Linked DNA regions of Struthio camelus. The main gene of each other region encodes a partner of the protein of the gene in region 4 in a complex. Links are inferred from orthologs where the notes say so. Each region holds a gene or a part of one and is shown on either strand. Other genes may lie near its edges.

What was found.
Region 1: the proteins of GNAO1 (region 4) and RGS16 are in contact, whole or in part, in a crystal structure (PDB 3C7K), measured with the Mus musculus proteins. The link is inferred for Struthio camelus from reciprocal best matches to the Homo sapiens genes GNAO1 and RGS16. Residues at the interface, in NP_034438.1 of Mus musculus: Glu64, Asp65, Gln68, Ser75, Arg86, Thr117, Val180, Lys181, Thr182, Thr183, Gly184, Ile185, Val186, Gln205, Arg206, Ser207, Glu208, Lys210, Lys211, His214, His236, Glu237, Asp238, Glu239; in NP_035397.2 of Mus musculus: Glu85, Phe86, Ser87, Glu89, Asn90, Glu124, Ala125, Pro126, Glu128, Val129, Asn130, Asp132, His133, Glu134, Leu161, Lys164, Asp165, Ser166, Arg169, Lys172.
Region 2: the proteins of GNAO1 (region 4) and P2RY2 are in contact, whole or in part, in a cryo-EM structure (PDB 9K20), measured with the Homo sapiens proteins. The link is inferred for Struthio camelus from reciprocal best matches to the Homo sapiens genes GNAO1 and P2RY2. Residues at the interface, in NP_066268.1 of Homo sapiens: Ala31, Lys32, Asp33, Val34, Leu195, Gln305, Glu309, Glu318, Ile319, Tyr320, Cys321, His322, Met323, Val334, Phe336, Thr340, Asp341, Ile343, Ile344, Asn347, Leu348, Gly350, Cys351, Gly352, Leu353, Tyr354; in NP_002555.4 of Homo sapiens: Asn66, Ser68, His130, Arg131, Gly134, Val135, Pro138, Leu139, Leu142, Arg143, Met221, Arg224, Leu225, Ala229, Tyr230, Gly231, Thr232, Ser233, Pro237, Ala239, Lys240, Lys242, Ser243, Arg245, Thr246, Leu308.
Region 3: the proteins of GNAO1 (region 4) and C3AR1 are in contact, whole or in part, in a cryo-EM structure (PDB 8I95), measured with the Homo sapiens proteins. The link is inferred for Struthio camelus from reciprocal best matches to the Homo sapiens genes GNAO1 and C3AR1. Residues at the interface, in NP_066268.1 of Homo sapiens: Ile28, Ala31, Lys32, Asp33, Val34, Asn194, Leu195, Ser264, Asn316, Glu318, Tyr320, Asp341, Ile342, Ile343, Ile344, Ala345, Asn347, Leu348, Arg349, Gly350, Cys351, Gly352, Leu353, Tyr354; in NP_001313404.1 of Homo sapiens: Asn57, Asp119, Arg120, Val123, Val124, Pro127, Ile128, Gln131, Asn132, Arg134, Asn135, Tyr356, Ile359, Arg362, Gly366, Arg367, Phe368, Ser371, Lys374, Thr375, Val378, Leu438.

The regions. Positions count from the first base shown.
Region 1 is NC_090949.1:7,354,118-7,360,985, reverse strand, and holds the start of RGS16 (regulator of G-protein signaling 16), read left to right. Parts: upstream 1-3,865; 5' UTR 3,866-6,164; intron 6,165-6,868. UniProt on the Homo sapiens protein: Regulates G protein-coupled receptor signaling cascades. Inhibits signal transduction by increasing the GTPase activity of G protein alpha subunits, thereby driving them into their inactive GDP-bound form.
Region 2 is NC_090942.1:222,647,809-222,655,502, forward strand, and holds the start of P2RY2 (P2Y purinoceptor 2), read left to right. Parts: upstream 1-4,682; 5' UTR 4,683-4,818; exon of another isoform or gene 4,819-4,864; intron 4,865-5,329; exon of another isoform or gene 5,330-7,694. UniProt on the Homo sapiens protein: Receptor for ATP and UTP coupled to G-proteins that activate a phosphatidylinositol-calcium second messenger system. The affinity range is UTP = ATP > ATP-gamma-S >> 2-methylthio-ATP = ADP.
Region 3 is NC_090942.1:88,541,250-88,548,762, forward strand, and holds the start of C3AR1 (C3a anaphylatoxin chemotactic receptor), read left to right. Parts: upstream 1-4,513; 5' UTR 4,514-4,649; intron 4,650-7,513. Other genes in the region: NECAP1 (adaptin ear-binding coat-associated protein 1), read right to left, coding at 1-60, 143-251, 658-739, 1,148-1,252, 1,403-1,503, 3,559-3,656.
Region 4 is NC_090951.1:21,791,319-21,799,277, reverse strand, and holds the start of GNAO1 (guanine nucleotide-binding protein G(o) subunit alpha), read right to left. Parts: upstream 3,009-7,959; 5' UTR 2,531-3,008; coding exon 2,413-2,530; intron 2,346-2,412; exon of another isoform or gene 2,323-2,345; coding exon 2,280-2,322; exon of another isoform or gene 2,258-2,279; intron 1-2,257. UniProt on the Homo sapiens protein: Guanine nucleotide-binding proteins (G proteins) function as transducers downstream of G protein-coupled receptors (GPCRs) in numerous signaling cascades.

The DNA.
Region 1 (6,868 bases), on a different chromosome or scaffold from region 4:
GTGAGGGTCACAGAGACAACCAGGCGGTGAAGAAACAGCAAAAAAAGATGTTTTTGTGTAGGAATGAGGTCAAGAAATTCAGAAGAGAGGACGGTTCCGAGGTTTACCTGATGGCGAGAAAGGTTGATCCTGTTCAAAGCGTGACTCCAGAAAACGCAGTAGATAACATCTCTCAGCAGGCATCTCCAGAATCAGTGCTGGCATTCTTTCAATTTTGGTCAGAATTCATCAAAAAAACTCCACAGTAGCCCACACCGTGTAAAAACTAAATCCCTTCTTTCCTACATTGGTCTGGGATACTGCCTTGAGTAGGCACATTCAGAGACAATATTGCTGCAATTGCAACAGGAGCTATATTCATGCAGGCTGATGCAGGATAAGTGTTTTGCCCCTTGTATTGATGCCAGATAATATCCTCTATAAGAAACATCCTAGAACATACAATAGAGTGAAACTTATTGTCTGAGGGATATGAGTCTATCGCAGTTGTTATTGTTGCTGCTTTTAAATTTTGTCTCTCTAGCAGGAAAGCCGCCTAGTTATTTAAAGTATTTTATTTTAAAACAAGAAATTGGCACCAGCTGCTTCTTTTATGCCAAATATCAGTCTGACGGGTATTAAAATAGGCAACTTCTATCTCTTCGCCTTAAACCAGGGGCTGGTTAAGGAAATAATGAGTGAGCCAAACTTCAGAAAGCACTGAGGGATGACTAATCCTCATCGAGGACAAATATCCTATCTTTGATTCATCTCTTACTGATGTGAAAGGGATATTCATAACTTACAAGCCCCATTTCCTCCCTCCACGAGCGCATACCTCCAAAAATTTGCCCGTTTGAAGTAATGTCAGAGTGCTATCACAAGAAGAGAGAAAAATCATTTCACTTAGCTCTTTCTATCCTGTGTGTATGCTGACATGTACCCAGTCAGCTCTCAAGTCCTTTGACAGCAAAAGGGAAGAAGGGTTTACAGTTGCGTTTTCTTGTTCTATGAACTTCAGAACTTGTGAAGTCCAGAAGCAGATGCAGAACCTGAAACTGCTTTGAATTTCTTATTCCTGCTTTGCCCTGTCAGTCACACTTGGGATTATTCTCGTCACTTTTATTGTACCTGTTAATGTACTGATGGGTCCCTGCTCTCCATGCTGAGAAAGTGTGAAGGGCAAAGTCCTGCTAGTCTGAGCATGGGAGGGAAATAGGGGTGTGTGTGTGTGAGAGAGAGAGAGTGCGTGTGAGTTCATGTACGTGCTATTTAGTGTCTCCCACTACAGAAGCCTTTCTGGGATGTAGATGTGCATGTTAGGCTAGGAGAATTATGCGTAAGTGGCATAAAATGAGATATTAGCTAGTATTGTCTTTGCATTGTGTATAAGTTTGACTAGTAATAAGAGATGTAAAACTCTGCTAGGCTTCCAGTTACCCCTAAGAGCACATGTATCAAACTGAACTGAATGTTCGCTGATAGACACAAACCCAAAATGTTTACAGCATTCAGAGCAATAGGAAAGCATACCTCATGCCAGTCCTGGAGTGCCTCTCACTTGTCAGTGCAAACTCTCCCCTCCCTTTGGCCTCTCGCTTCTCCTTCTAGACCCCTCTCTCGTTCCTGGTCCTGTCCCTGTGCGCTCCCCTCCTCTTCCTTATCCTCCCCTCCTTGAAGCACTCCTGACCGTGCCAAACCTTCCTCTCTGCCAGCGCTGCTTGTCCTCCCTGTGTATCAGCCCTGGCCTCACATCCTGACCTCCCATGCTTCCCTGTCTGCATGCCCGCTCTCCTCATGTATCCTTTGTCTCCTCGTTTCTTTTTACCACCCCAGACACTTATTTCTGGTCTCTCCATCGCTCTCCTACGTACCTCCTACTGTTGCTATAAAGCTCTTAGTAGCTATCCCTTGCCCATTACATAAGAAGAAAACGCTTCACATAATTTCTGTATTAGCTTTCATTCCTGCGGCTGCTGCAGTTGTCTTGTTTCTTGGTACTGTGCTTTCTCTGGCATTGAAACATTATATCCTAGAACTGGAATTAAAGTATATTTTGCTGCCAGTCCAGAACGCTTTTCTCCTGCTGCACACCCCTTGGCCTTTGCAGAGGCTTGGCTTGTCCCCAGCACTGTGTCTCTTCCCCCGCCGCTGGTGCTCCACGTGCTTTGCTTGCTGGCAGGGTCTGGCTGAGTGAGACGGGAGCTGTGCTCCGTTTCACGGGTTCTATTCTTAGGTGCAGACTCAGTAGCTGCTTTGACAGGGTCACAGCTGTGCTTCCTTTTAGCTTTCCGATTAAAAAAATAGAGTGTAAATAAAGGTGCGTGCGTGTGTGTGTGTGTGTTACATTTGCTTAGTAAAGTAAGTCATTTTGCTCTGTGCCTCCTCGTGGTTTTACTGGAGGGCTGTGTCTCTAATTTGAGACTGTGTGCAGGAAACTCAACGGGGTCTCGGGGAAGTGTGTGCATGAGAGGGAGGTGGCAAAAGGCGATGGGTTTATTTACCCCCCAAAACAGAACCTTCTTTGCAAAAAGGTACAAAAGAAAAGGCAGAGCCTGCTGCTGGAGGGACTCGGCATACCAGGGCTGGCCGGGGATCTCAGCCAGGGTGGGAATCACTTGTCTGGTGGCCCCATACCTCCCAGTGTGCAGCTCCATCTAGCCAGCGTGTATTCAGGTTGGCGCTGGACACCAGTACCTCCCTGCTGCTCCTGGGGTGATTTACTTGTTATCCTGAGCTAACAAGGGGGAATTACCCTCAGACTGGCCAGGACTAGTTGCTACATCTGTAGATACACCACCATCTTTCATCCGTGTGCTGTATCCCCAAGGCAGAGTCTAAAACAGGACAGAGGAGGAGCTGCTTGACTTTGCATTTGTGGTGTAGCGCAGAGACAGCAGTGTTACCCTAAGAGAAACATCTTTGCCTTGCTCTGCCAGCGCATGCAGTCACCAGCTAAAAAGGGAAGAGGGAAGGATGCGTTTCATGTTGTGTTTGCTTATGCAAGAGAACTGGCCTCTGTGGGATTACGGATAATGAAAAGAGCGGGTAATGAGTCCTCCCTAGGGGGTGGATCCCCCTTCCTTAAAAACCATGATTAAAGTATTTCATCTTCCTATAACCTCTCTTCCTCTTCCTGTGCAAGCAAAGCATCAGGCACATAGACTTCAGAATTTTCTTTAAGCTGTCTGGCACCTCTATCCTCCGTGGGATGAAGGTATCCCACTGGGAGGAGGAGGCTTTGAGGACCTGAATCAATAGCCAAGCACCAGTCCTGAATAAGGTATGGTTTAAGATGTCTTTGTTCCCTGGGACACAGGATTGTGGGTGGCTCAGAAGGGATTTAGGAGGGCTTCAGTGTGTGGAGCTAATTCAGAACTGAGCCACCAGGTATCTGGACAGAAAGACCAACTCTTTTTAAGATCTTCCCCATGCCGTGTTTCTGTTTTAATTAGGTCCTTATGCTGTCAGTGTCTCCGCAGCATCGGGGTGCTACTGATTTTGTTAGATCAATAGCAGGAGCAGCTTGTTTGGTCTGATTCCTTCCCGTTCAGGTGAAAGCATGGGCTTGGGTGCAGTTTGACGTTCCCTCTGCATTACCTGCTCGTTTGCTTGAGTCACCTCTGCCGTATCAGATGTCTGACCACCGATGATATTCCCACTTAGTTGTGTCACTGCGTTGTGAAGTATTATTTACCTTTACTGTATAGAAACTGTGAGGACATAATAAACAGCCTGAGAACTCCTTGCTTTGTGCCCGAATGTCTGAAAAAGGTGTGAATCGAGCAAGTTTTCCTTTACGGAGAGGAAAGTGCAAATTGAGGGTCAGGTGCCCAGGGGATGGAGGAAAGTCTCTTGAAAGAATTGAGGAGGAGGAAAAGGATGGAAGAAACTTGTGCCTTCTCAGACGCTGGCCTCATCCTTTTGTGTACTGGTTTGACTGGTGCAGACTTGCTCCATTAGGCAGCTGGGAAGGAACGTGTTAACTCTTAAGTGGCTGTTCAGTCTCTCTTTGTTACAGCAGTTTGGATGCAGTCCCCCTGGAGGTAAAACATTTAGGCAGGGGGAGAGGGGAGAGAAATATTATCAGTAGGATCTGGGAGACTATAGGGAAGGCAAATCTGAAGGGTTTTCTACCAGTGGATTTACTCCCTGCTGCTCCCTGTGACGGATCGTCCGCTCCAAACTCCCAAAACAAAACCAGTCACCCCAGCAAACACAGGCGTTTCCAGGAGCAGTCGTTCTTCTTTGAGGAAGCCGAGCTTCCCCCAAGGAAGGTGGGTGCTTATCTCTGGCCGGGGGGCAGCGGCGGCTGGAGCCTCACGGGAGCGCCTGCTTCGGCCTCGCTCCCGCAGGTCCGAGGCGGGAGGAAGCAGCCAGGCGGGCGAGCAGAGGTGGACCTGTTGCTCGGGCCGGCCAAACACGTGCAGTGGCTGGCGGTTGGCACGGTGCCGACGCTCTTGGTCTCAGACAAGTTACCCGTTCCCCTGAACCGGATACCTCGCTGAAGTCGCGCAGAAGTCTTGCAGGACCTTCTCGGGGGGGTATCGGCATGCAGCTCAGCAGCGAGGGCCGCGTTAAAAAGGGAAAAAAGAAAACCAAACACTTGCCGCGCTGCCAGGAGCGTGGCTGGGGGACGGCTGCCACCGAGCCGGGCGTGCGGCCGGGCCGCCTGCGCGGGCAGCCCGCTCGCTGCTCGGCAGAGAGCAGGAGGCGCGGTGAACGCCTGGAGAGCAAACGCTCCTTTGTCAGCCCAGCGCGCGCACGCCAAAAAAAGGCCTGATCCTGATCTAGCAGGTAGGCGATGCGCAAGCAAGCGCCGAGGAAAGGAGAGCAGCGTGGGATGGACCGAGTACGGCCCAGCCATGATGAGCCACTGAACGCTCCCGGTTTTCGGTCTATGAAGAGCAGCGCCAGGCTCCAGGTGGCCATGAGCAGGCCGTTCTCATCGAGGTCTCCACTTGACCAGTCCTGGGGGATAAATTGGGCTGGGAGCAGCCAGCGGGAATAGGCTGGCAAGTCAGCGGCGCCAGCGAGGCTCAGGGCGAGAGCCGGCAGCCGAAACGGAGGCCGACGCGTTGCAAGTGCCAACGGTCAGGCGGGCAACGAAAACGCCGCGGGGGCCCACGGCGTGCGCGAAGCGGAGCCGGAGAGCAGGACGCAGCGGCTGGCCGGGGCCAGCCTAGGGAGTCGGCGCGAGGCTGACGCCGAGCTGGCGGAGCCTGGACCAGCTCCGCAGGGAGCGGCATCGGGCTCGAGGAGGAGGCCGGCCGGCCGGCCGGAGAGAGCGGCGCCCGGGCTCCGCTCGCACCGAGAGAAATCCCTCCTCTGGAGCCGGCCCGGTGGGCCGCGAGCGCTTGTCGCTTGGCCTGCCCTGCGGTGCAGTTAATGAGAGCAATTAAATAAATCTGCTTTTCTCCCGCAAACGTGGAATTTCTGAGCCCCTCCTTTTTCTCGCCTCTCTCTCTCCTTTTTTTGCCCTAATTCCCTTCCCTGCTTTTATTGCTTTCCCTTTCCCTTTCTTCTTAGTTTCTTCCCCCTAAGCCTGACTCTGAGCCACAATGATTCGTGTGCATCCGAGGGAAGAATCTGCCATCAGCACCGCTCCGTCTCCCTCTTAGATAGGATATGTTTAGCCCTCGCCTTTTTTTTTTTTTTTTTTTTTTTTTTGCTCTTTAGTGACTTTAAAGAGCAGGTGCTGGGAACGGAAAGAGAAGATTAAAGGTACCTGCTGTCAGCTACCTCTCGCCGCACAGATGTGCTCTGGTGCTGTACAAAGAAAGCACATGAGCGGAGGGGATAACAGCTGCCCCTCGAGGAGCTCGGTCGCGATGCTCGTGTGTGTTTCCAGCAATCTCGCTCGCCCCAAGTAGCGCAGCCGTGAGCTGTTGGTGACCGAGCCGGGTCCTTACCGGCTGCTAGCTTCAGGGAAACGTAACAAAGAAATACAGTTGACCGGTCCCGCTTCTGTCTTTCTCCTGAAGGTTTGAACTCCCCCTGTTGCAGTCCCCAGTGCCCGGCATCCACCCCCGGTTCGCTGCGGCTCTTCTTCCTTCCTTCCTGTCTTTTCAGGATAAAACCCTCTAGAGCCACACTAAAGCTCGAGGCAGCCGTCGCTTAGAGGCAGCTGGGCTGGTGCCTCCCCAGCACCGGGATGTTGTCGGTCCCTCCATAAATCCCACGAGGTAGGTGTTTGTGAGCGCACGCGCAAGTGCCTTAAGCTGAAATGATGCTACCAGGAATCCTCCTTGCCGGCTCACGGTGCTCGATGGCGCTTTTGGGGCACGTGCGTAGAGGTGCTGTGTCCCCCCTCCCCGGTCCCTCCTTCCTTCCCTGCTACCTAGTTCATTTATACACTTTGGGGGGGTGGAAACTTTTATTCGCGGTTTGCCTGGGTGAGAGCTGGTTCCCGCTGCGAACGACAGGGCCGCGCTGGGAAACGCCAGCTGCCGACGCGGCTCCCTCGTTGCAGGTGCTCGCGTGAGCCGGCTGCCAGCCCCAGCGTGGCCGGCGGGAACGAAAGGCGGAGGGGATCGTCTGGGCGGCGCAAGAGGCAGCGTTAGTTCCCGCGGGCGGGAGGTGGGCTCGGCGCCGCAGAAGTCGGGGCAGGTGGCGGGGCGGGCGCTCGGCCCCGGCGTTGCGACACAGGATGCTTCTCGTGTTCCCAAACAACGGCTGATAATGCAGGCGACTGGTAAGCTCGATGACACAGGAAGCACGTAATTAAATTAGATAGAAAAGAGAATACAGACCTCCGAGTACATCTACGTCGTCGGACTCGGGCTGTTGCACAAGCCTAACGAAGCGCTGCGTGTTATAACGCGATGCAGCTACCGTCTTCCCCCACCGGAGAGCTGCCTGCTTTCAAGCAACGTATCTTCTTACCCTT
Region 2 (7,694 bases), on a different chromosome or scaffold from region 4:
TGCACGTCCATCCGCCCTCCCGCCGCCGGGCCGTGTCAGTGCAGATCTCCCCGAGGAGCGAAAGGTTATTTTGGAGCAAGACGGGAAGGAAGCGAATTCAAAAGCCCCTTACTGAGAATAGCTATTTTTGGGGGGAAACAAAGGGATTGGAGGGTGGGACGCTGCGCGAGTCCCCGCGAGAGCAGGAAAACCGGCTCGGAGAGCTGCCGTAAAACGGCTTTTCCGCCACCGCTGATGGAAACTCGCTCCTCAGCATCTCTACCGATCACGTCTAGCTGTGTCCTTTGGGAGGAACAGATCCAAAAGAGGGATTTGGGGGTGGGAGGGCAACGGGGCTCCTGCCGCCCGGACGCCGATGGGCGAGCGAGGGAGCCGTGTCCCTGCTCCGCGGCCCGGCAGCGGGTCTTCAATCCAGCCCGGTCCGGCTCTTCGCCGTTTCTGCAAATACAGGAATGAGCTTTTTTCACGGCCACCTCCTCTCTATTTTGGGCTCGGCTCGTTGTGTCGGATGGGTTGTCTCGCGCCGCTATTTTTAGGGGGATTTGGTTTCAGGCCGGAGGCTTGAAGGCTGGCTGAGCACCCCTGCGCTGGCGCCGTGACGCTGGGCGGAAATCTCAGCATCTCCGTTCCTAAGAAAGCCGGAGGGTTGGGGGGGGGCACCCCAGCCTCCCGCCGAGCCGCGAGCATCCCCTGCGCCGGACCGCTTCCCGGGAGCGTGCGGCGGCGCAGGGAGCACCCGTCTCGCGCGGGCACCGAATTCCCACCCAATTCCCCCCGAAATGCGCGTGGCGGAGCCGTGCAGCCCCGCGGAAGCGTCTACCTGCCACCCAGGGAGAGAAATCCCCGCCGGGATGCGTAACCCGCTCCAGCAGATCAGGGCGGCCGGTGCAGGAAAAAAAAAAAAATGCTAAAAAAGAGAGAGAGGCTGTTACCCCCCCACACCCCGGCGTGAGACGGGGACCCCCGTGCCATCCGCTATCCCCCCGGCGCGGGCTCGGCCGCGGCGCGCGCTGCCCGTAACCGGCCCTGCCCTTGCCCGCAGCACACGTAGGCCTGGCTGACGGGTTAATTTTAACCCCCCTTTCCCGGCGCGCCGTGTTTATTTAAAACCTTGGCGAACCCGAGCTCGCCGGCCACAACGGGCCGCTTGTGCCCCGGGGCCGCGGCGGCCGCTTCTGCAGCCTGGGAGGTCGCCGGTGGAGACCGGGGTTTTACATGCCCTCCGTGGGGAGGAAGCAAAAATTGGGCTACCAAAAAGCCCCAGCTGCTGCTGAAGGGGGAAAAAAAAAAAAACCATACAAAAGCATAGCGGCAAAGACCTTTTTGCACCGCGACCCGGGGCCGCAGCTCTGAGGCTCGCAGCAGAGCAGCTCCCGGCTCGCATCTTCCCCAAACGCTGGAGCCTGGGAAATGCCTGGGAAACGCGCTCGAGGCTGCGGCCGGAAGCGCTCCCGCGGCTGCCGGCAGCCCCGTCCTTCCCGTCGCTGCCGTTCCCGTAACCCCGCGCGCGATCGCGTTCCTCCCCGCTAGACAACAGGGGAAATGTTTTCGGAGCATCTTAGAAACCTGTATCGCTGCCAAAGGCTGGAAAAACGGAGACGTTAAAAGCAACGAGGGGCCGGTTTCCAGCTCCGGCTCTCGGACGGGTAGCGTTCCCGGCACGGATGACCGCCGCTGGATAAATCATTCCTTTCTCTCCAGCTGGATTCGAAACCTCTTATTCGCGTGGTTGGAGCTGCTTTGGAAGAGGCCTGAGATGGCGAATGCAGATTTTGGGGTCCCCCTCCGGTTGGGTCACCTGCTAAAAACCTCCCGGGTCAAGAAGGATGGAAAAGCCCGAGGTGGGTTAAGCAGGACACGATGCGCAGGCGCGTGCACGAATAACCCCGCGGCCTCCCGTCTCTCTTCCACCTGGTCGAGTGGTGAAAAGGAGGAAAACGCAAAACTGGTGGAAGAAAAGGTTTTTCCCCGCAGCTGGTACAAACCAGGGGGGGAAACCGGGGCTGGCGGGAAGGTTGCTGGGGCGCTGATCCATCAGCTGGAAGCCCCCGCCGCGGCGCGAGCTCCACGGGCATCATTTCCCCGCGCGGTTCCCGCTCCGACCAAGGTTTTAGGAAAACATCTGCTCTCGGTTGTTGCAAACCCCTCGGTCAGCCCTGTCCGCGCTTAATCGCCCCTCGACGCGAAAAAGCCGCCCGCCTCTGTTTTTTAAGCCGTTTTGCTCTTCCCCCCCCGCCCCCAGCAAAGCTGCTCAGAGGATCAGAGGGGGAGAAGCCGCCGGCTTTAATCAAAGGCTTAATTACACTGGGTGCTTTGCCACCCTCCCGGCTGGTCCGAGGCCCATCCGAAGAGCTCTGCATCGCCCTGCCTCGGCGCAGAGCCCGTCCTGCCTCCCTTATCAGGCCCAAATAGCTGCGACATGATGTATTGTTTTCCCTCTGCAAACAAATTACATCAGAAGAAGGAAACAGGCAGTTTCGCGCTGGCACGGAGGTTCGTCGTCAGGCCTTCGGCAGCCCGTGCCAAGCGGCCAGAGCCTCCGCGAACGCCTCCTTAGCCGGCTGCCGCTTTGCGCTCGCGGATGACGATAGATGGTGGCCCAGCCGGTCCCCGGAGGAAAGGCGGCAGGTCTTACGGGCCTCTGGCGCATCCCCCTCGCCCCGTCATCTCTTCCCTGGACGTAAAGTCCGAACGCTGGGATGCTGGACCTGCAGGAGCCGAGGAGATGCAGCTCTGTCCCGGCGAGCCGAGCGGGCTCCCGCTGGCCAGGCTGCGTCCCAGGAAGCAAGGCGAGAGCATCGCCTTTGCATTAGGGAGCAGCACATCCCCTTTCCAAGCGTGGCATCTCTCAAGGGATGCCGTGGTACCCGCATCGCGAAGCTCTTCTCTAGCACGTGGTTTTCAGGAAAATGAGCAAGAGGGGCAGAAGTGAAGCCCAAATGGCCTGAAAGTCCTGTTATCATCTAACTTCTCATCCGGCCAGTCTGGAGGCATTTTTCCACCAGCGGAGCCACTTGCTCTGGCTCCGGTTCTGGTTCTACCCTCCTGGAGTCCTGGGACCCCCTTTCCTCCCCTTTCCACCACTGCGCCCCAGGATCTCGCCCCGGGCAAGGGGTTGGGGAGCTCTGCTCGGGGCACCCTGGGGTGCAGGGGGAGGGCGCCAGGGCCACCCTGGGTGTGCGGCTTCCTGGGGAGCTGGAGGCTACCGTGGCCCCACGGGGGTTGGATGTGACTGGGACCTGCCTCGGGGAGATGAGCAGATCCTGGTCCTGGCCCCGATCCTGGCCCTGATCCCAGCCCCGAAGGGGTCGGCACGTCCCAATCCCGGCCCCAGGGTGCAGGCAGGTCCTGGTCTGGACCCCAATCCTGGTCTCAGGGGGAGGGAGGGGGTGGTCTGGTCCTGATCCCAGCCGCGATCCAGCCCCAGTCCTGGCCCCGATCCTGGCCCCCAAGGAGGTGATCAGGTCCCGATCCCAGCCCCGGTCCTGGCCCCGATCCCAGCCCCGGTGGGGGCAGTCAGGTCCCAATCCCAGCTCTGATCCCAGCCGCAATCCCAGCCCCAGTCCTAGCCCCGATCCCGGCTCCGGTGGGGGCAGCCAGATCCCGATCCCAGTCCCAGATGGGGGAGGGGGACAGGTCCTAATCTCAACCCCGATCCCAACCCCAGTCCTGGCCCTGGTCCCAGCCCCCGTGGGGGTGATCAGGTCCCGATCCCAGCCCCGATCCCGGTCCCAGTCCTGGCCCCAATCTCAGCCCTGGTCCTGGCCCCGATCCCAGCCCCGGGGGGGAGCGGTCAGGTCTCGATCCCAATCCCGATCCCAGCCCCAATCCCAGTCCCGGTCCTGGCCCCCATGGGGGTGACCAGGTCCCGATCCCAGCCCCGATCCCGGCCCAGGTCCTGTCCTCGATCCCAGCCCTGATCCCGATCCCGGTCCTGGCCCTGATCCCATCCCTGGTCGTGCCCTCGATCCCATCCCCGGGGGGGTGGTCAGATCCCGATCCTAGCCCCGGGTGGAGGGGGGGGGGGCAGGTCCCAATCCCAACCCCGATCCCATCCCCAGTCCTGGCTTCGGTCCCAGCCCCCGTGGGGGTGATCAGGTCCCGATCCCAGCCCCGATCCCGATCCCGGTCCCGACCCCGATCCCAGCCCCGGGGGGAGCGGTCAGGTCTCGATCCCAACCCCGATCCCAGCCCCGATCCCATCCCCAGTCCCGACCCCAATCCCAGCCCCGGGGGGAGCGGTCAGGTCTCGATCCCAGCCCCGATCCCATCCCCGGTGCCGACCCCGATCCCAGCCCCGAGGGGGTGGTCAGGTCCCGATCCCGATCCTGACCCTGATCCCATCCCCGGTCCCAGCCCCGGAGGGGGGAAGGTCCCGATCCCGGTCCAGGTCCTGTGCCCGATCCCGGCCCCGGCCCCGGGGGTTGGGGGGTGGGAGGGAAGGTCCCGATCCCGGTCCAGGTCCTGGCCCCGATCCCATCCCCGGTCCCAGTGCCGGTCCTGGCGCCGGGGGGTGGGAGGGGGTGCAGATCCCAATCCCGGCCCCGACCGCGGGTGCCCGTCGGGGGCAGATCCCGGACCGAGATTTGGGGGGGGGGGGGTGAGGAGGGGGAGGAAGACGGTCCGCCCCGTGCCCGGAGGGGGCGGTGCGGCCGCACGCCCGGCCCCGACCCGCCTCCCGGCTCCCACGCGGCGAGACGGCGGCGGCCGCGGGCTGCGGTCCGGCCCGGCGAGGGGACCCGAGCCCCGGGCACGGCGCTGCCGCCGCCCGCCGCAACGGGGCCATCGGCTCGGCTCGGCCCGGATCGGCTCGGCACGGTGAGCGAGAGCGTGCGGCGGGGCGGGAGCGTGCGGCGGCCGCAGGGTAGGAGCGTGCAAAGCGGGGGGTGGCAGCGTGCAACACACACACACACACACACACACAGACATACACAATCCCCTCCAGAGCAGAGGTGCGAGACCCCCGGGCTGCTCCCCTGCACCCTTCGGACCCCCCGGCAGCGCCGCTTGCGTCCCCGCCGCATCCGGAGTCGGGCACTGCTGCCCGGGGGAAGCCAGTTAAACTCCGTTTCGCCCAGCTCAGGGATTGAACGGCGATGCCAAAAACTCCCCGAACCCTAAAAACCCACCCAAGCGACGGGGCGGTGGGAGCGCTTCGATCAAGCAAGCGCGGACCTGCTGCCGTGACCTCAGCCCGGCCTCCCTCTGCTCCTCTTTTTTCCCCCCGCATGGGTTGCTTGCTTGCTCCCTAATTCGCAACCCTTCCCCGGCCACGCAGCTTCGCTGGCGGCACTCAGCTGGCGGCTTATCCGTGATTTCCGGCACGCACCTCCGCCTCCCTCTTTCACTCCACCGTGCGTTCGCCACCTCTGGCGCGCTTCGCTTCGCACCAGCGAGACCCCCGTCTCCGAACCTGTTGAATCATTGCTTTGGCCACTAGCCCCGAAAAAGCCTCCGTTCCCAGGGAGCTGCGAGTGGGGCGGCGTTGCTGCAGCGGAGGTTTGCAGGGTCGAAGCATCTTCTTTCTCTCTCCGCTCCGGTTTTCTTATTGGGTTATTGCAAAACGCGTTTGGCACACTCCGAGTTCCTCTTCCTCCTTTGCGGGCACACAAAGAAAACCTTGTCCTTTGGCCGCCTTGCAGCGAGACGCAGGAGTAAACGGTCCCGCCGTTAGCTGCTCGCAGATCGCGCTCCGGTGTCCCGGCTCGCTCCTTCAGCGGCGCAACCGTCGCTTCCTCCGTTGCTCGCTAGCGGGCGGACGCAAAGTCCCGTTTCTCCTGTAAATGATGCAAAAAAGCAACGCAGCGCTCTTCTTCGTCCCCAGCAGGCCTAAGGGATCACGATGCCCTGGGTTTTTTTTGTTTTTGCATCCCCGCTGCTTCGGGGGGGTTGAGCCTCCCCTAATGCCGGCGTCGGGATCGACATACCAGGGTGTCCCGGTGCTGCAGCCAGGTTGGGGTGACCCGGAGGGGTTTTTGGTTTTCAGCTGCCGTTGAAAGCAAAGGCCAGGAGGGGAGATTGCTTCGGGTTCATGTAAATCAGAGCTGAGGAGTTTGGGGGTTTCTCGGGAGGAGCAAAGAGGAATTTCCGGAAAAAATCATTTGGGTCCAACTGCTACATGTCATCTGAGCTGAAATACAAATCACGAGATGAGATGATGAGATTTTTTTTTGCAGGTTATGCTATCTTTCATCCAAACTCCCCTTTCCAGCTTAGGTCGAGTTCTGACACCCTATTAAGCCAAAACTTCAAAAAATACTTTTCGCGGAGAAAACAAATTTGAAATATTCCACGTGTTTGCGTCTTTCCCAATATATTAGGGGGGATTGTTCCACCACGGTCGACTCAAATTCATTCCCGGCCGCTGCTTCCAAAACTCCTGTGACGCCTCGCTGCTTCGCAGAGGGCTTTTGGCCCCGGGGCTGTTTCTGATTGAGGGGCAGAAGGGGAAACTGAGGCACGGGGCCAAGGCGTTGGGTTGCCGGCGGGTCGAAACGAGCGTCGGGGTTTGCAGAGCCGGCGGGTGCCGGCCGAGGCAAGGACGCCGCGGCCCTGAGACGCGCAACGTAGCGCGGGTGAGCGGCCCTCGCGCCGCCTGCTCCCGGCCGGCCGGGGCCTCGCAGGGTCAGAAGTTTCTGGCTGTTTTCTTGTGGTTGCTGAGGATTTGAACCGTGCTCCCGGAGGAGGGAAAGCCGCGCCAGGTTATTCGCTTCCCAGCGTCTCGAGCGGTTCCTGATACGGAGCGAGGATTTTGATGAGTCCACGAAATGCCTACAGATTCCACGAAATGCCTGCGAATCGGGGCAGGGAAAACACCCACGCTCTGCTTCTGGCCATCGCGAAGGCGACGGGCAAGGAAACGCTGCAAAATGCAGCGCGGCGTTGACCTCCGGCACGAGACCAGGGGAGCTGTGTTTGCAATCAGTGCGGCCGGGGCTGCTCGCAGCTGCGCGGCTCCGCAGCCCTGCCAGAAAATGCATCCGCGCTAATTATTCCTGTTAAACCTCATCCAAGCCTAGTGAAAAGGCATTCATTCATCGCGGCGGCGATTTGGCTTTGCTTCAGTGATTTTGGTCCTGCTGCTGGCCTCCCCAGCACTAAATCGCCCGGAGACTGCTGGGAGGGCAGTGGCGGTCACTGCGAAAAGGGGGAAAAAAACAAGATTAAATCCCTTTGCTCAGTGATTTGATGCACAGCCCCATCTCCCCTCTGTCGCCTCGCCTTGGCCCTGGGTGCTACAAGTCCCTCGGGCGCCCCGTGACCTTGGTGCGTGCCCTCCTCCGCCAACAGCCCCCCCATTCCCTTATTTACTCATCCTCATTCAGATACTGTTACAGGAGTATTTTGGGATACCAGTGTCGCATGTATGTGCCGGGGGGAATATATACGTGAGCAAAAGTGATGGCGTACGGGACGTGGGATTGCAACGCAAACACAGCGCAGCCGCCGGGTGCCTCCTGCACCTTTCTCCTCCCGCACTGTGGTCGGAGGTACCTGTAGGTTGGTGCAGCTGGACAGGGTGCTGCGATGTCCCCACATTGTCTTCATTTCTTAGGTGAAGAGCTTTTTCCTGTTTTCCGGGAAAAGAAACAGGGCCCGTGGGATAAATGGGCTCTTCCAGCAGCCAGCCCAAAGCCAGGCTGCAAAGAGAGAGATGGAGTGAGCCAATTCGACCAGTGTAGCCAGGTTCATCT
Region 3 (7,513 bases), on a different chromosome or scaffold from region 4:
TAGGCCCCCTGATCCAGATGCACGGGGCTTGGCTGCCCCTCCTTTCTTTGTTGTCATGTTCTGTATAAAAAGAGGGGACAAATGATGAAGCATCTCAACTGGCAAATCCAAAGAAAGAAGCTGGAGCAACCAGACTCCTTACCCCAATGTTCAGTTTGATGGTCTGTCCTTCCTTGAACCCTAAATCTAATTTGGGACGTGTGTCAGCTTCCTGGGATTCCTTGGAGATCTCAGTCTCCTGCTTCACCCACCTAAAAGAAAGAGGAAGACATAAGACCCTATGGCAAAGGGAAATGGGGCTTCAGAAAAATGCACAGTTCCTCCCTCCTGCCAAAGAACTAGCTTGCCTTGTCAGTCTAGCTACCTCATTGCTCCCAGTATAGCACAGCAAAAAATTCAGACCACAGAAGCCCAAAAAGCTGTTAAACACCACACCTGCAGCGTCACAGGACCCAAGCTTTTGGCTTACAGATCTGATCCTACAAGACCCTTAGCCTGCATGGTGGTTTAGAGCACACACGAGTGTGTGTTCCTGATGGAGCCACAGCTGGCCTTCAAGACTATCCCAAAGAAGCCTATGCTAAATGAATGTGCAGAGCTACCCACTGTGTTCCACAGGCCAGAGGAAAAACAGCATCCCAGAAGAGCCCAACTCACTTGAAGTGATCCTGCAAAGAGACGTTGAAGTCAAATGCATCACCCCGATCCGCGAAGCCAATGCCAATGAAAGCACTTCGTCCTAACAGTGAGACAGAAGGGGTCATTGGAAATGTCTTGCAAAGGTGCCCCTGTGTTCATTCTCTCCCAAATCCTTCTGCTTCTCCTAAACCAGTCTGTGCTACCTCCTTTGACAGCTCTGCAGCTGGACAACACAGGCACACAGCAGTTCTTTGCTCCTAGCCTATAGGATGCACCCTTCATCCCACGTGGCACTCTCCAAAACTGAATCCTCCTTCTCAGCCTCTGGACTCTGTGCAATGTAGAGAAGCCTCCTCTGCTGATCTTGCCTTCCTACCCCTCCAGGCACATTATCCAACCTTTTCAGCACTCCCAACATCATCTCAATCCACCTGGCCTACACTCAGCTTCAGCAGGTTAACTCTCTTCCACCCCCAGCACTTGGGCCATGCATGACTCCTTGACTCACCAGTTCCATTCTGAATCCGAATGACAAAATAGCGGCTGGAATCTGTCACCGTCTCCACTGCAATGCCAGGGTATTGGTCTATGGGAGCCTGAGCAAAAAGCTCCCCTATAGGCAAAGAATCAGGCGTTAACAAGAGCAACCTCTTTCTAAAAGATGATTGGGGCTGCCACGCACAGCTCTGAGCTGGCTTAGAAGCACAGGCTCCTAAGTAGCAACCACAGTTATAGTGTTGACAAGCCACACCCCTTCCCTTACCTGAAACCTTATCCTCTAGTTTTATGTATGCGGTTTTGCCTTTGGAGGTCACACGAAGTCGCCCTGTCCAATCCGGATGGTCCAGTTTCCAGTCAGAAGCCCTGAAAAAAAGAGCAACTCTTCACTGACAGTTCCTCAATATTTACATTTCTGCCCAACCAGCTCAGCTAAAGCCCCTGCTCCCAAACCTTCATCACATGAAGTTGCCTCATTCCGCTTCTCTCTCTTCCCACTAAGTTCGGGAGTCTGCTCCTCTCCATTGTGGGGTTAACTCCTCACTGAGGGTCTCAGCTCCTCTCTGTCACTACCAGTCTACATACGAGGCTCAGGATGGCCTTTCTTTCCTTCGGGTAAAGGAAAATAGATACAGTCCAGAGAACATCAACTCCCTGTCTTTACTTTTATAAACTTGCAGAAGAGGAGAGACTGAAACCCTAGAACTCAGTTGGGATAGTAAACCTAAAAAGGACTAATAAGCAACTAGTGAGCATCAGGAAGGCCTAAAAAATTTACAGCATGCTGAAAAGACACTTGATACTTTTTACAACAATGGGGTAAAATAATGAGTACTTCTAAAACTAGAGGCAGCTTGTTTACTCTATGTAAGGCACCACACACACAAGCATACACACAATCTTATTTGGCCCATCAAACTCTTTGCTACAAAACGTTGGGGGAAGGGGAGGAAAGAGTCAATCCTACAGCATTCTACACTCAGAACTGAACATTTGTGGCCAGGAATACCATCGACAGCAGCAACAGTTCAGCAAGACAAAGCAAGTGCTCCTGACACCATTAGTGTTTCAGAGCATAAACCAGTCACTCCAAGAACTCTGTGGAAGTAGCTCACAAAGTCATGTTCTGCTGGTTTTGGCTAAAGACAGAGAAGGTATTTCTAACTAACTTCTAGCCCCGCCAGAGTCACAATCAGCTTTTTCTGGCTTCCACCCCCACTGCTCCAAAAGCCAGTGGGCCAAATTTAACTTTTTGTTATACCACATCACGTTTGTGCCTCGGGGAGCAGAGCAAATATAATTGAGGGCAGAAGTTATTTCTGACTAGAAAAAGCACAGCAAGTGATTTACATCTTCATGTCCTGTGTGAGATTAACTAAGGAGACTCCCCATTCCCCTACAGCACAGAGGAGAACACTCTTGGTTTTAGGCACAGAGAATATACATCAGACTTGATACAGGTTTATCAGAAACATCAAGTACATCATCTGCAGCTGAAGTTTGTGAAACTGCAAGTGCGTAAGGCTTCAGAAAGCCTACTTGACTTGCTTAATGCCAAAGAGAGTGCAGACAGTTCAGCAGGTATTAGCACATAGAAGCCTCCGCCTCTCAAGCCTCTGTTTATTCACACAGAACAGACTGTGCTGACTCTGGGCAATTCTGCAGGAGCGCCTGAGCCAGCACACTCTGCCAGAGCAGTACCAGCTCTGCAGGGACAACGTGGGGTGGGGGGAGGGAGGGAGGGAGAGAAAGAAATACATCTACCACCAGAGAAAGCAGCTATGGTATGACTCAGAGCACACACAAGAACAGATTCGTGAAATAAGAAGAGGTCATTTTTACAAATTTACTTCTCCCTTGATCCAGGCTGCAAGCCCAGCACAATGCAGGGCATGGGCATCACAAAGCAAAACCGAGAGGCCCAAGGCCACAGCTCAGACCCCGGTTACAAGACAAAAACGAACGATAGCAACTCAGTGCATGACTGCACTACCTTTTCACTCTGCGAGAGCACAAGGAGCCCGCACCTTCCCTCAGCAACGCTTCTCCCACCCCAGTTCTGGCACCGTCAAGAGGCGCTGGCATCCCGCGGCGCAAGCGGGCCGCTGCCGCACAGGCACTGGCACCTACTCCAGCCACCGGCCCCCGGAGAGGACACCTCTCCCCACCTCAGCGAGGCGCCTACCTGCTCCAGGGCCGCCCTCCAGCTCCTCAGGCAGCGCAGAAAGGGGCTGAAGGGCGGCCCTGCAGCCAGTGCCGCCTCAGGGAGCCCCGGAGCGCAGCCGTGCTCCCCATGACGCCACGGCGGAGCGGCGCGGAGCGCGGCGGGGCGCGGCACAGCGCACAGCCCCCTGCCCAAACACAGATCGCCCGGCCTCAACCTCGGCCCCGGCTCCCTGGCACAGCACAGACCCCCCTTACCTGTATCCGCGGTTGGAGGTGCGCGGCGGGATGCGGTACACGTTGACATCAGGCTTCACACACAGAACAGACTCATACTCCAGCTCAGCCGCCGCCATCTCAGATATTAACCCCAACTACCTCAGCAGGTAACGGCGGGTGGGGAGCCTAATAGCCGGGGGCGCTTCCGACCGCCATGTTTACTGAGGGCAGACGTTGCCAAGGGCGCGCGCGTGTGGCCATATTGCAATCAGGCCGCGCTAAAGGCGTGGCGGAAGGCATCATGGATCGTGGCAGCAAAACGCTGGAGTAGGGGAGGGGAGGTGGCCATATCGAAACCGTTCCTGACAAAGCAATACGGATGGGTGCCATCTTGGATCCTGGCAGTTGCCACAGGGTTTCGCGCGGCCATACTTGATTCGGGCTGATGAAGTCGTGTCGAGCGCCATCCCGAATACTGGCGACTTCCCTTTCTCTCGGATACTAGAGTGGCGCGGAAAAGCAGCCATGTTGGAAATGGGCAGAATGGAGCAGGCGGCCACCGGAAGCCGTACCGCGTGCTGGCGTGGCTGCCCTGGCTGCAGGGGCCGCTTGCGCTGGCCCGGGTGCTAATGGCTCTGGCTGAGGGCATGGCCCGGGGCAGGATGCATGGCCCTCCTGGGCCTTCTTGGGCTCACCCCACGGAGCATGTGTGTATGAGCGGCCAGCCCAGCTTCTCCAGGAACAGAGCCACCCCAGGAAGTGTGAGAGCTGCTTCCCACATGCCCCATGCCCAGGGCAGGACCAACTGAGCACTTCCAAACCAAAGTGACACCAAGCAGAAGCTCACAGTGTTGTGTCATGTGCTGGAAAGCTGCTGCTCAGGCAGCAGCAGTCAAAACATGCAGTTCGGTTGTGTGCTTTCATGTATTTGGAGGTCTTTTAGTTCTCTGAATGTTCTGAGTACTGTTTTGGGTGCTTTGCCTTCTTTCTTTCATGTTTTTCTTCTCTGCAGCCCTAGGTCAGGAAGTTGGATTTTAGAGGAAAAAGGTTTTTTGTGTACTCTGTGGTTCTGCGACTAAGAGGCCCTTGGTAAAACAGCAAACCAAAGAGAAAGTGCAACACAAACCACTGTAAGTTTTCCAGCTAAAACTGGTGAAAGTGCATGTTAAGTGTGCTTAAGGTTAATTTCAGAGGTATGACTTCCCAGAAATTTGGCTAACCTAAGTATATAAATACTAATTTATTTATTAAATATAATAGGATAAATATTAGTAGCATTTAGACTGCTATTTTGTAATAGTCACTAACTTCCCAGTGGAAGCTGGTGCTGAAGTCTACCGCTGTACAGTTGCTTGTGGCGGACTCTAGAGAATGTTGACCCTGAAGACTGGGGAAAAAAGGGGTAAGGCAAGTTATGAACAAAGTTACGTTTGTCCACCCAGCCTGGGACAGACATAATATGGGCTAATTGTGCTAGGAAGTAATTTAAGCAATCCATGGAACACTGAATAAGCATAGTTTATTGCTGAGGGTGAAACAAAGTGAATGAAATGGCGCTGAGTTTGGGGAATTATTTTTTTTCTGGTATGGTATAGTGTTAGTTAATGCAGTGAGAGCTGAAACTGTGTTTGGAGATTTGTTATCATTTTCATTCCAGGGGTAAGTGGAACTGGGTGGTAATAAACCTCAGCCATAGCATTCTAAACAAGCAGTCCTTCTGTCAGGCCTAAGGTCCAACTAGCCCAGCAGTATGTCTCTGACAGTGCCCACTACAGAAAATATTTGAAACAAAGGGAGTTTGTGCTACTAGTTCCATAGATCTGGTAAGCGAAGCCCAGAAAAGGAAGTCTTGAGTCATTAAAGTCATTGAGTCATTAAAACTAACAAAACAAAATACTTACAATTTAACTAGCCTATCTAAATGTAACTGGCCAAATTTTTCAGAAAAAAAAAATGATGTGGGCAGCTGTATGAATAGATACACACAAAGGAAGTATGACTGGTGTGAGCTGAGTACCTGAAAAGACCTGGTTTACTATGGAATTATGCAAATACACAACTTTCCCTCTGCCAGCTTGTTCTGCCTCCTTACAGCAGGAGGGAGGGGCTGGCACACAGGATTTCTGTGGCAGATCTTGATGCTCCAGGGAGCAGAGGCCCCCACTTGAGTGAAGCAAGCTGCTCCCTGCCAGGCTGCACACTGGAGCAGGCAGATAATCTGTCTATCTTCCTGGGCAATGAGATTTGAAACCCTTCAGGCAGCCTGGACAAGAGCAAATGGGAATGTGTGGAGCCAATACTTAATGCAGGTAGGTGCCACAACGTAAAAGAAAGCTCTGCCTCCCTGCTTACAGTATGGCAGGGTTATGTTGCTTGCCAGATTGTCAGAATAAAAGAAAAGGTAAAAGACAGCACGGTTCTGATGCTGTACTGAAGCTAAAAGAGGTTAACGAGAGGCAAACCTTGGAGGAGAAGGCAACAGAGTTGCTTAAAGAAAGCATATTGAACAGCACAGAATTACACTTTCCTCACATGAGGAGAGGCTGACAGAGCTGGGACTGTTTAGCCTGGAGAAGACAAGACTGAGGGGGAATCTGATCAATGTGTATAAGTATCTGAAGGGAGGGTGTCAAGAGGATGGGGCCAGACTCTTCTCAGTGGTGCCCAGTGACAGGACAAGAGGCAACTGGCACAAACTGAACCACAGGAAGTTCCGTCTGAACCACTTTTTTACTCTGAGGGTGACTGAGCACTTGGAACAGGTTGCCCAGAGAGGTTGTGGAGCCTCCATCCCTGGAGATATTCAAAAGTGTGTGGACACAATCTGGGCAATGTGCTCTAGGTGACCCTGCTTGAGCAGGGGGGTTGGACTAGATGATCTCTAAAGGTCCCTTCCAACCTCAATCCTTCTGTGATCTGTGGGTAGCCTGATAATAATCCATGCAGAAGAATCATTTGAGCTTTTACTTTGGTTTGATTGTGTTTCAGAAAAAATAATGCATTGTCCAGTAATGTGCATGAAGCCTATCTTAATGGATGGATACAACATATGGCACATATTCCTTCTGTGCATAAAAGGCACAAGGGAAACCCACCTTGCAAAATGAATCACTTAAAATCTTGAAACAAGCGTTTACATAGAACAATCCAAACACTATTTCAGACAATGACTCTTTCACTGAAAATGCCCTGGTAAAAATTCTGACTCAAATCATCCTCCAGTACTGATCTTTTATTTTGAAGAGCTGCTTTTTCATTCTGTGATCTATGTATATACCCGTTTTGCCAAGCTTGTTTCCTGCTTGATGTGCAAAAGGCTTGTGCCTACCTGAACTTACCAAGCAGTGCACGAGAATGGTTTTGGGTTATCCAGGGGATTTTCTAAAGAAGAGAAACTGAGGAATATCAATACAGAGCAACCTTGCTGATTCCTGGAGTTACTGCAGCAGCAGCCAGTGAGTCTCTATGAAACTAAGTACATACTAGAGACAATGAAAAAAAAGAATATAGTAAAGATTGGCCACTAAAGCACCACAGCATGCTCTCTGGCGATGCAGTTATGCTAGCTATGGCTAAGCTTTATAGGGAATGTTTTGGACATTTGTTTAGGAAGATGAGCTTGACAAATACACAGGGAACTTTCAGCATCTGGGAAAGATGACAGCTATCTAGTGGCTCCACCTGCTCAGAAATGAACAGGGAGTCTCAAAGGGTCTGTAAAGCTTTGGAGAACTGCAGAAAAAGTAGTAAAAATACAAAATGGAAGTGGAATTCTCAATTCTTGCCAAACTGTTCTGGAAGCAGCCTGCATTCTCTTGAGGGTGGGAGGTTTTTGTAAGTATACCTGATCACATTTATTGAAGAGCAATTATCTATGAGTGTAACTAGTAACTGGTGCAGGTTTGTACTAACAAACAGAATCACAGAATCCTTTAGGTTGGAAGGGACCTCTGGAGATCATCTAGTCCAACCTCCCTGCTCAAGCAAGGTCACC
Region 4 (7,959 bases):
GGACGCCTCCCAGTTTCCGACACTACGAGCCCTGCCACCATAGCAGCCGTCTCTGCCGTCTCTGCATTTTTCAAGTCAGGCACAAAACTGCAAGCCTGCCATGCATTACTTTCAGACTGTCTCATGGAAAAAAATACATATGTACAACAGTGGGGTATTATTCAGTCCTCGATATAGCGATTCAGCCCAGCAGGCTGGTTATTATCGTGAGACAATTTGCTTTAAAAAACAAGAGCTCTGCTACCCAGCAGCGCTGGACACTAATCGCCTGTGCCACCGTGGCCGTAGCCTGCCCTTCTCGCCCAAGGACCCCGTGTGCGCGCTGGCGCGCCGCCGCTGTGGTCGCCACAGCCTCTCCCTTCGCCCAAACCCCGCCGTCCGCCATGCCAGCCTGTTTCTGCAGAAGCGGCTCAATAATTTATGGGTGCTCATCCGCAGCAGCGTCCCCCCCCGATCCCCCTCGCACACCCAGCCCCGCGCCGCCGGCCCCACATCAGCGCAGGGCCCCCCCAGGCCCTCTCCGGGTGGAAAGCGCCCGCCGCAGCGGGCGAGCGGGGGCTGAGCGGGAGCCCTTGCGGCACCCGCTGCGGGCGGGCAGAGCGGCGGGGCGCGCCGGGCGCTCGAGGGGAGCCCTCCCGGGCCCGCCGTGCGCCGGGGGGGGGGTAGGAGGGGGGCGGCTTACTCCCCCGGGAGCCCCCGCGGCCAGACGCAACGGCCTGACACAGCAACGGGCAGGGCATGCCCGAGTCACGCCTGCCGGCGTCTCCCGGCGGGGCTGCGGGCCGCCCGCGCAGGGACGCGCAGGGCAGCGGTATGCCCGAGCGGCTCCGAGCCCCTTCGGCTCTTTCCGAGCCCGTTCGGCTCCTCCCGACCGCCTCCGAGCGCTGTCCGGAGGCAGCCGAGCGCGGCGCTCGGCCTCCGCCGGGCGGAGCCGAGGCGCGCCGAAGCGGCAGCCGCGCCGGCGGGTTCGAGTCCCCGCTGGGCGCTGTCCACCACGGCAACCGCCTGAACGCCGCCGCCGCCGCCCCGCCCGGCCCCGCCGCCCGGCCCCGCCGCCGCGCCCGCGCCCTTCCGCCCCTGCTCGGCGACCCGCTGCCCGGATTGCGGCTTGCCACGCACAACCCCTCCCCGCAGCCTCCACACCCACCGCCGGCGCCCCTCGCTCGCTAGGCAACGCCGGCCTCCGCGGGCCCCTCCCAGGCGAGCAGCCCTCCGCAACCATCAGCGTTAGAAAGCAGAAAGGGCTCCGTGTCTTTTCCGAATTAAAAGCGAGGCACTGAATCAATGCACGGGGTTGCTCAGTGATGGCGCCGCCTTGGACCAGCCTGTCGTGCCTGCTTCAGCGGGCGGCTGGGATTGTGATTGTACTTCAATTAAAAGGAGGGGGAAGGAGGAAAACAAAAAAAAAAAAAAAAAGAAAAGCAGAAAGAAAGAAAACCCCAGCACCCCGCCACGGTCGTATCTCCAGCCGTTCATCAGCGTTCCCCTTACTCCAGCCATCGCGACGCCGCGGAAAAGGCCGCGCAGTGGGTTTTCCCAGCGCTGCTGTTTACCGCGCAGCGAGGGCTGAGGAAGCAGGGCGGGGGGTGTGTGCGGGGCCGGGGCCCGGGCCGGGGCCGGGCCCGGCCGCCGCTGCCCCGCGCCGCCGCCGGCCCCCCGGCTCGCAAGCGGCGGCGGGAGGCGAGGCGAGGGGAGCGGGGCGAAGCGCTGCCGCCCGCCGCTGCCTCCTCGGCCCCTTTAATTGGCGCTCGGCAGCCAAACTCGCCGCTCATTAATTGAAAGGCTAAAAGCTCGGGTGAAAGGGGCTTTGGGTGGCAGGGCGCCTTTCCGCGGAATCCGCATTACCGGCGGATTTTGGCGTTCCTTCCATGAACGCCACAGCGGCAGCCGGGCAGCCCCCGCCGGGGGAGCGGGCGTTGAGGCGCGGGGGGGGGGGAGGCGGGGGGCAGGAACCTGCCGTCGAGCGCCCGCGGCGCGTCCGCCGGCTCTGCCCCGCTGCCTCGGCGGCCGCTGCCGCCCGCTCGCCGGCGCTTCAGCACCACGGCGGCCCCGAACAGCAGCGGGGCGGCGGCGGCGGGGCGGGCGCGGGAGCCGCCCGCCGGCCCCTCAGGTAACATGGCGGCCGCGGGCACCCGCTCACCTCGGCGGCCGCCGCCCGGCCCCGCCCCGCCCGGCCCCGCCCCGCGCGCCGCTCCCGCCGTCGCGATCATCACCGTTACGGCCGTTATGATCGCGATCCCCCCCCCCCCTCCCCGGCCCCGCGCGGCGCCGCTTCTTACTTCATCTGCTTCACGATGGTGCTTTTCCCCGACTCCCCGGCCCCTGCGGAGAGAGGAGAAAGGCGGGTGAGCGCGGCGCAGGGCGGGCGGTGAGCGCGGCGCAGGGCGGGGGGCCGCGCGGCGCCGGGCTCACCTAGCAGCAGCAGCTTCACGTCTTTGGCGGCGCTGATCCCGTCCTCCTTGAGGTTCTTCTCGATGGCCTTGCTCCGCTCCAGGGCGGCCCGCTCCTCGGCGCTCAGGGTACATCCCATGGCGGCCCCGAAAATTGGGAAAAAAAAAAAAAACAAAATGGGAGGAAAAAAAAAAAAAAAAGGAAAACGGGCCCCCGCCGCCGCCGCCGCCTCGGCTGGCTCCTCCGCGGGCAGGAGAGGAGGCAGGGGGCAGCCCAAATCCGCCGGCAAAAAGAGCCCCGGCAGGGAAGGGAAAAAAAAAAAGGATTACAAAAAGCTTTCTAAATCTCTGGGCGGCGCGGCGTGTCCTCGGCGGGTCGCGGCTCCTTCCTCCCCTTCTGCCCGCTCCCTAGTGATCAGCGCATCCGACTGGGCACCGGGCAGAGCGGGGCTGCGGGCGCCGTGCGAGCTCTTCCCGGCGGAGAGGAGGAGGCGGAGGAGGAGGAGGGGGAGGAGGAGGAGGAGGAGGAAGAGGGCTCGTGGCGGGGGGTGGGTCCTTCCCTCTCCCGTGCTCGCGGGTTCCGCGTTCTCCCCTGCTGGCGGGCTGCTCCCGTCTGGCGCGGGCGGCGGCGGGTCCCTCACGGGCGGCGGCGGCGGCGGCGGCGGGGCGCGCTCGCGGAGCTCGGCGGATGCTGAGGGAGGGAGGCAGCGGCAGCGGCGGGGGGGGCGCGCCGGGGCTCCGCGCTCCCGCCGGCCTCGCCCGCTCCCGTGACGCGCGCGGCTCGCGCATGCTCGCGGCGGCCCCCGCCTCAGCCTCAGCCCGGTCGCCGCCGCCGCCCCGGCCCGCGCCCCCCCCCCCCCCCCCCGCCCCGAGGCGGCGCGGCCGGCCTTTCTCGCCGCCGCCGCCCCGCGGGTCCCGCCGAGGCCCCTCGCCGGCTCTCCTGAGGGGAAGCGCCGCGGCGGGGTCAGGCTCGGGCTGCGGGCTCCGCCTCGGGCCACCCAGGGCCCGCGGCCCGGGCTCCTGCCCGCCTTGTCCCGGGCCTGAGAGAGGCCGCGACCCGGGCTCCTGCCCCCTTTCCCTGGGGCTAGAGAGCGGCTGCGGCCTGGGCTCCTCTCCCCCTTCTCCCCAGCCAGAGAGCGGCTGCAGCCCAGGCCCCTGCCCCTCTTCCCCAGGCAGAGAGAGGCCGCGACCCAGGCTCCTGTCCTCCTCACCCCAGCAGAGAGAGTTCATGACCTGGGCTCCTCTCCCCCTTCCCCTGGGCAGAGGCCGCAGTCCCAGCTCCTTTCCCCTTGCCCTGGGCTAGGGAGAGGCCGTGACCTGGGCTCCGGTCCCCCCTTCCCCTGGGTCCTCTCCCCCCTGCCATGGTCACTGTGGGCTGGGGTCTGCCCAGCTGCACAGCTCCCGCACCTCTGTCACTGCCCTGGCTCTGCCCAGGTAGTACAGAGATCAGAGGGGCTGGGAGACGTGTGGTTGGATTCATGACACAGCAGTGCATTTTAATAGGCCTTGGGTCGCCCATGGGGCCGGGGCTGCAGTACCGCAGCCCCAGGCGGTGGAGACGCCCCGTTCCCTTGCTGCCCCGCGGGTCCTCCGCGCCGCCGGCCCCTGTGCGCTGGGCTCGCACCTCCGGCGTGCGAGATCTGTGAGGAGCCCTTCTGAAGCGGTCTGATCAGTTAAATTGTTTTGATCAACACTTGTAATACAAATTGTTTACGTGCTTGAGGGAAGCCATCAAGTTTCGCCACCATTGTGGATATGTTTTCCATCAGTCTGATTAACAGGTGGGTTTTTTTTTTTCTTTCTGTGCTGCAGTGCAATCAAAGATTCCTTCTCACCAGATAACCTGCCTTGTTTTCATAACCATTCCACTACATCTAGCAATTATTTAGGAATTCTAGCAAGTTAAAATCCTGCAATTTTCCTGTCTGGTTTTACCATTTCCTAAGGAGGGAAATGGGGAACAGAAAATGTCAATGGGGAAAATTTCTTTAAAATGCTTTTCCAGCACATAGACAAGTCATGATATATTCAGCTTCAATCCATAACATTGATTGATATGTGACAGTCTGACTATAAAAAAATTAGAAAGAAAAGAATGGAGTGTTGAGGACAGCAAGCTAAAAGCCATCAAACATACAGATGAGCAAACTAAGGGACTATTGCCTGATATGAAGAAAGCACCCCCCCCACACACACACATAATAAACAAGAAGTCTGCAAAGGAAGGGCTGATTGTTAGGAAATAGCATGTGAATGGGAAGGTTTGCCCTTGAAATCCACTCCTACCCCCCCCCCCTTAAGAAGAAAGGATACAACAGGCTTAATACCAGCATTACTCTGTTTAGTGAACAGGCCTTCAGGAAATCCCAGGTCCAGACTTCCCCCGGGCTGTCTCACAGCGAGCGGCTCGGGGAAGGGAGTGGTTTGCCATTTCTTATTTTGGGTGGTAGAGATTGTACGCTCACGCACTGTTGATCTTCCAGTTCGGGCCTTGGCCCACTGCCTCTTCTGAGCTCTTCTTACATCCTGCTGTCTTGAGCTGTGCTACTGCTATATCTACAGACCCTTCCTTTAGGGCTAGCAATACCATTTCTAATAGCACTTCCAGTATGTTAAGCACAGCTTCCCTGACACTTTCCTTCCAGGCAAACATCATCATGTCCTCCCAGCACTGCTTCCCATCACACTTTCCTTCCAGAATCTTTTTTTTTTTTTTTTCATTTTCCCTCCCCTGAAAGGAAGGGAAAAAAATATGGCATGTGGTTAAAGGGGTAAAAAAAGAGATAGAAGGTAGAAATGGGGAAAAAAGAGGGCAAAAGGTAACTCATAAATAATGTCAGTGCATTCAGGGAGCAATAGTATTTACTGCTCATTTGTGAGCTAATAGGTGCTGTATATCTGAATTTTGGGTAATTTATATCTGGAAGCTCGTGGGAATGAGATGACAAGTACGTACATGGAAAAGCAAATCTACCACATGTCTTTGGTTGGGAGTAAATGGAGACGTGACTGATTGCAGAGCAGTTCCTGCTCTTTCATACCCATGCAAATCCCTTGTGTAAAATCAATGGGATCAGAATTTCAATTGGTAAGTTTCATTTTGACGGTACTAGCCAGAGGGATTTATGAAAATTGCAGTTAAAAAAAAAGCACAAACAAAAAATCGAGACGCAGCGTCCTCATGAGATGGCTACGTTTTACTTGCCAACTTCTCCACCAATTTGCCAGCATAGGAGTCGTATTGGGATATTCCCCGAAGATTTCACTAAGAGAATTTGTCTTTCGTATCAGCCTCTGGCTACTCGTTATCTGGCAAATTTGTAGCCCGTGCCTCCTGCCACGGAGAAAATGATTTCACTTCTGCGTGACTAGTGGGGGGGTCCACACTAGGCCTTTTCTCCCATGTGCAGTCCCAATCGCTATGTAAGCGTCTGCTAATCTCTTTCTTAAGGGACAACCCAAAATGGGCAGATCTTCTCCTTGGTGTCTCTGCTCTCAGATTCAGGGGAGCAGCTGTGAAAGTGAGCCGTTTCTGAGCCAAGTTTTACAGGTTTTATGTCACTGCTAATTGAGTGGTGGTGATGGGAAAGTTTCATTTGAATTTTTCTTAGAAGGAAATTTCATTTTTTTACAAATTGTGTTTTCATGGCAGATGGATTTCAAGAACCTGAAAAACAGCCTGCCTCTCCTACTAAGCAATGAAAAAATGTAGCAGTCTACTTGGCCTTTGAGGTTAATACGTTGGGTTTTGTGGCTGAAAATAATGTTTCCAGGGACTGGCGGGATTTCTTTTTTAATGAAAAGTAGTTGGTTTCATTAACAACTTCAGAGAAAATTGTCTTATTTTCTTAAATATGCAAGATATTTTTCATGACAGGTAGTTGGGGGGGGACGACTTTTTTCTGGCCGATCCTGCAGTTAAACTATATCACTCAAAGTACACGAAGGACAGTGCTTGTTTCTGCTTGGACTATTATCTTTACAAGCATAAGAACAAACAGCATATTTTAAACGAAAACCCTCATTCTCCTGTATTTGTAATCTGTGCTTTAGCAAGAACAGTCTCCTCTTCACAATCTGCTTTCAACCATTCTGCTAGGAAAAAATAATTAGATAATCATTTCTTTAAGAAGTGAAGGTTGGGATAACGTTAACAGAATTGATGGATGCGTTTGAAACGTTTAGTGCCAAAGTAAAGTTACTAGGTATATTGTCATCTTATGATCTCCGGGGTGTGGTGTTCCTATGGGTGATGAGATATCTCTCATAATTCTCCTGGCTGTGTCCAAATGGTGGGAGAGATGTGCTCTAAAGCACACCTCACCGTCCCAAGTTCCAGACTACCAGCTCAGGGATTTGTAGAGTGCTCTGACTTCCTTCTAACGTAGACAGCTTGTTTTCTTTCTAAGGGAAACATAGCAGACAGTGTGATGCGGGGGAAGACAAGGAGTTTATTGAGACCCAGGACTTAGGAAGCCCTTCTAGGTCTCACAGTCTGGACAAGTCCTTGGGGAGCAGTTGCAAACCCCTGCCACAGATCCTGGCCGTGAAGGCAGCGTGTGTTTTCGGGATTTAGCCAGCACATGCCTCCCAGCTTGCCAGGAGGTAGTAAAACTGGCTGGGAGAACTATCCTCAGTAAAAACGAATTGAGTATCTTTGGCTTAAACTCCCACAGCTACCACAACGCTCCCACCACCAGAAATGAAGTTGCAATAATATTGGGAGGGAGCATCATGCTGGATCCCGTCCCTGGAATTAGTTGCTATTGTTGGTTCGGCATAGCCTCTGTGAACTGGTGGGTGGTGTGAAGAGGGAGAGGGTTAAATCCAGGATACGATGACCATAGGAGGCAAGCTACAATCCTTTTCAACTTGTCTTTCCCCTCCTGCTTCAGGATTGTTCTCTACGATCTGCCATCTTATACTTCTTCAGTAAGGTTTTAATGCACGTTAATGGAACTGCCACCAATCCCATGGAGAGACAGCAATGCATTCTAGCAGATCTCACCATTAGGAAGTTTCCCTTGGATAGTCAGCCTAATTTTTCATTCTTTAAATTGATGTCAATTACCCCCCAGCTAAACCTAGTTATACGGTGGAAGACAGGTTTAAAATACTGCATGATCTCACTAAATTGGAGAAATGGACTGAAATCAATACAATGAGAGGCAACAAGAATGCCCATAAAGGTTAAGTGGTTGATGGAGGCAGGATTAATGAAATGCACAGATACTAGGTCAAATTGCAAATACCCTTACTTCATGCTTACTCCGTACCACACAAATATGTTCTACTTAGGCAAACCAGGTGAGGAGGCACCTCAGGATTTGGCTAGTGACGCAGAAAGTGCAGACCAATATTAAAGAAAGAGACGGGATGGGATGGAGGTAACATGTGGAAAGTTGGACTCAGAACAGGAATGAGCTATTAATACAAGAAAGACAAATGATGTCCGCATAAGAATATGACCTGTAAAATGCCTACAGTCAAGAAGGTAGACAAATCCACAATCTAATCAGGTTTAGAAAGATGCTGAAAAGCCTTTGTTTGTTGTTAGTTTTTCAAGCCT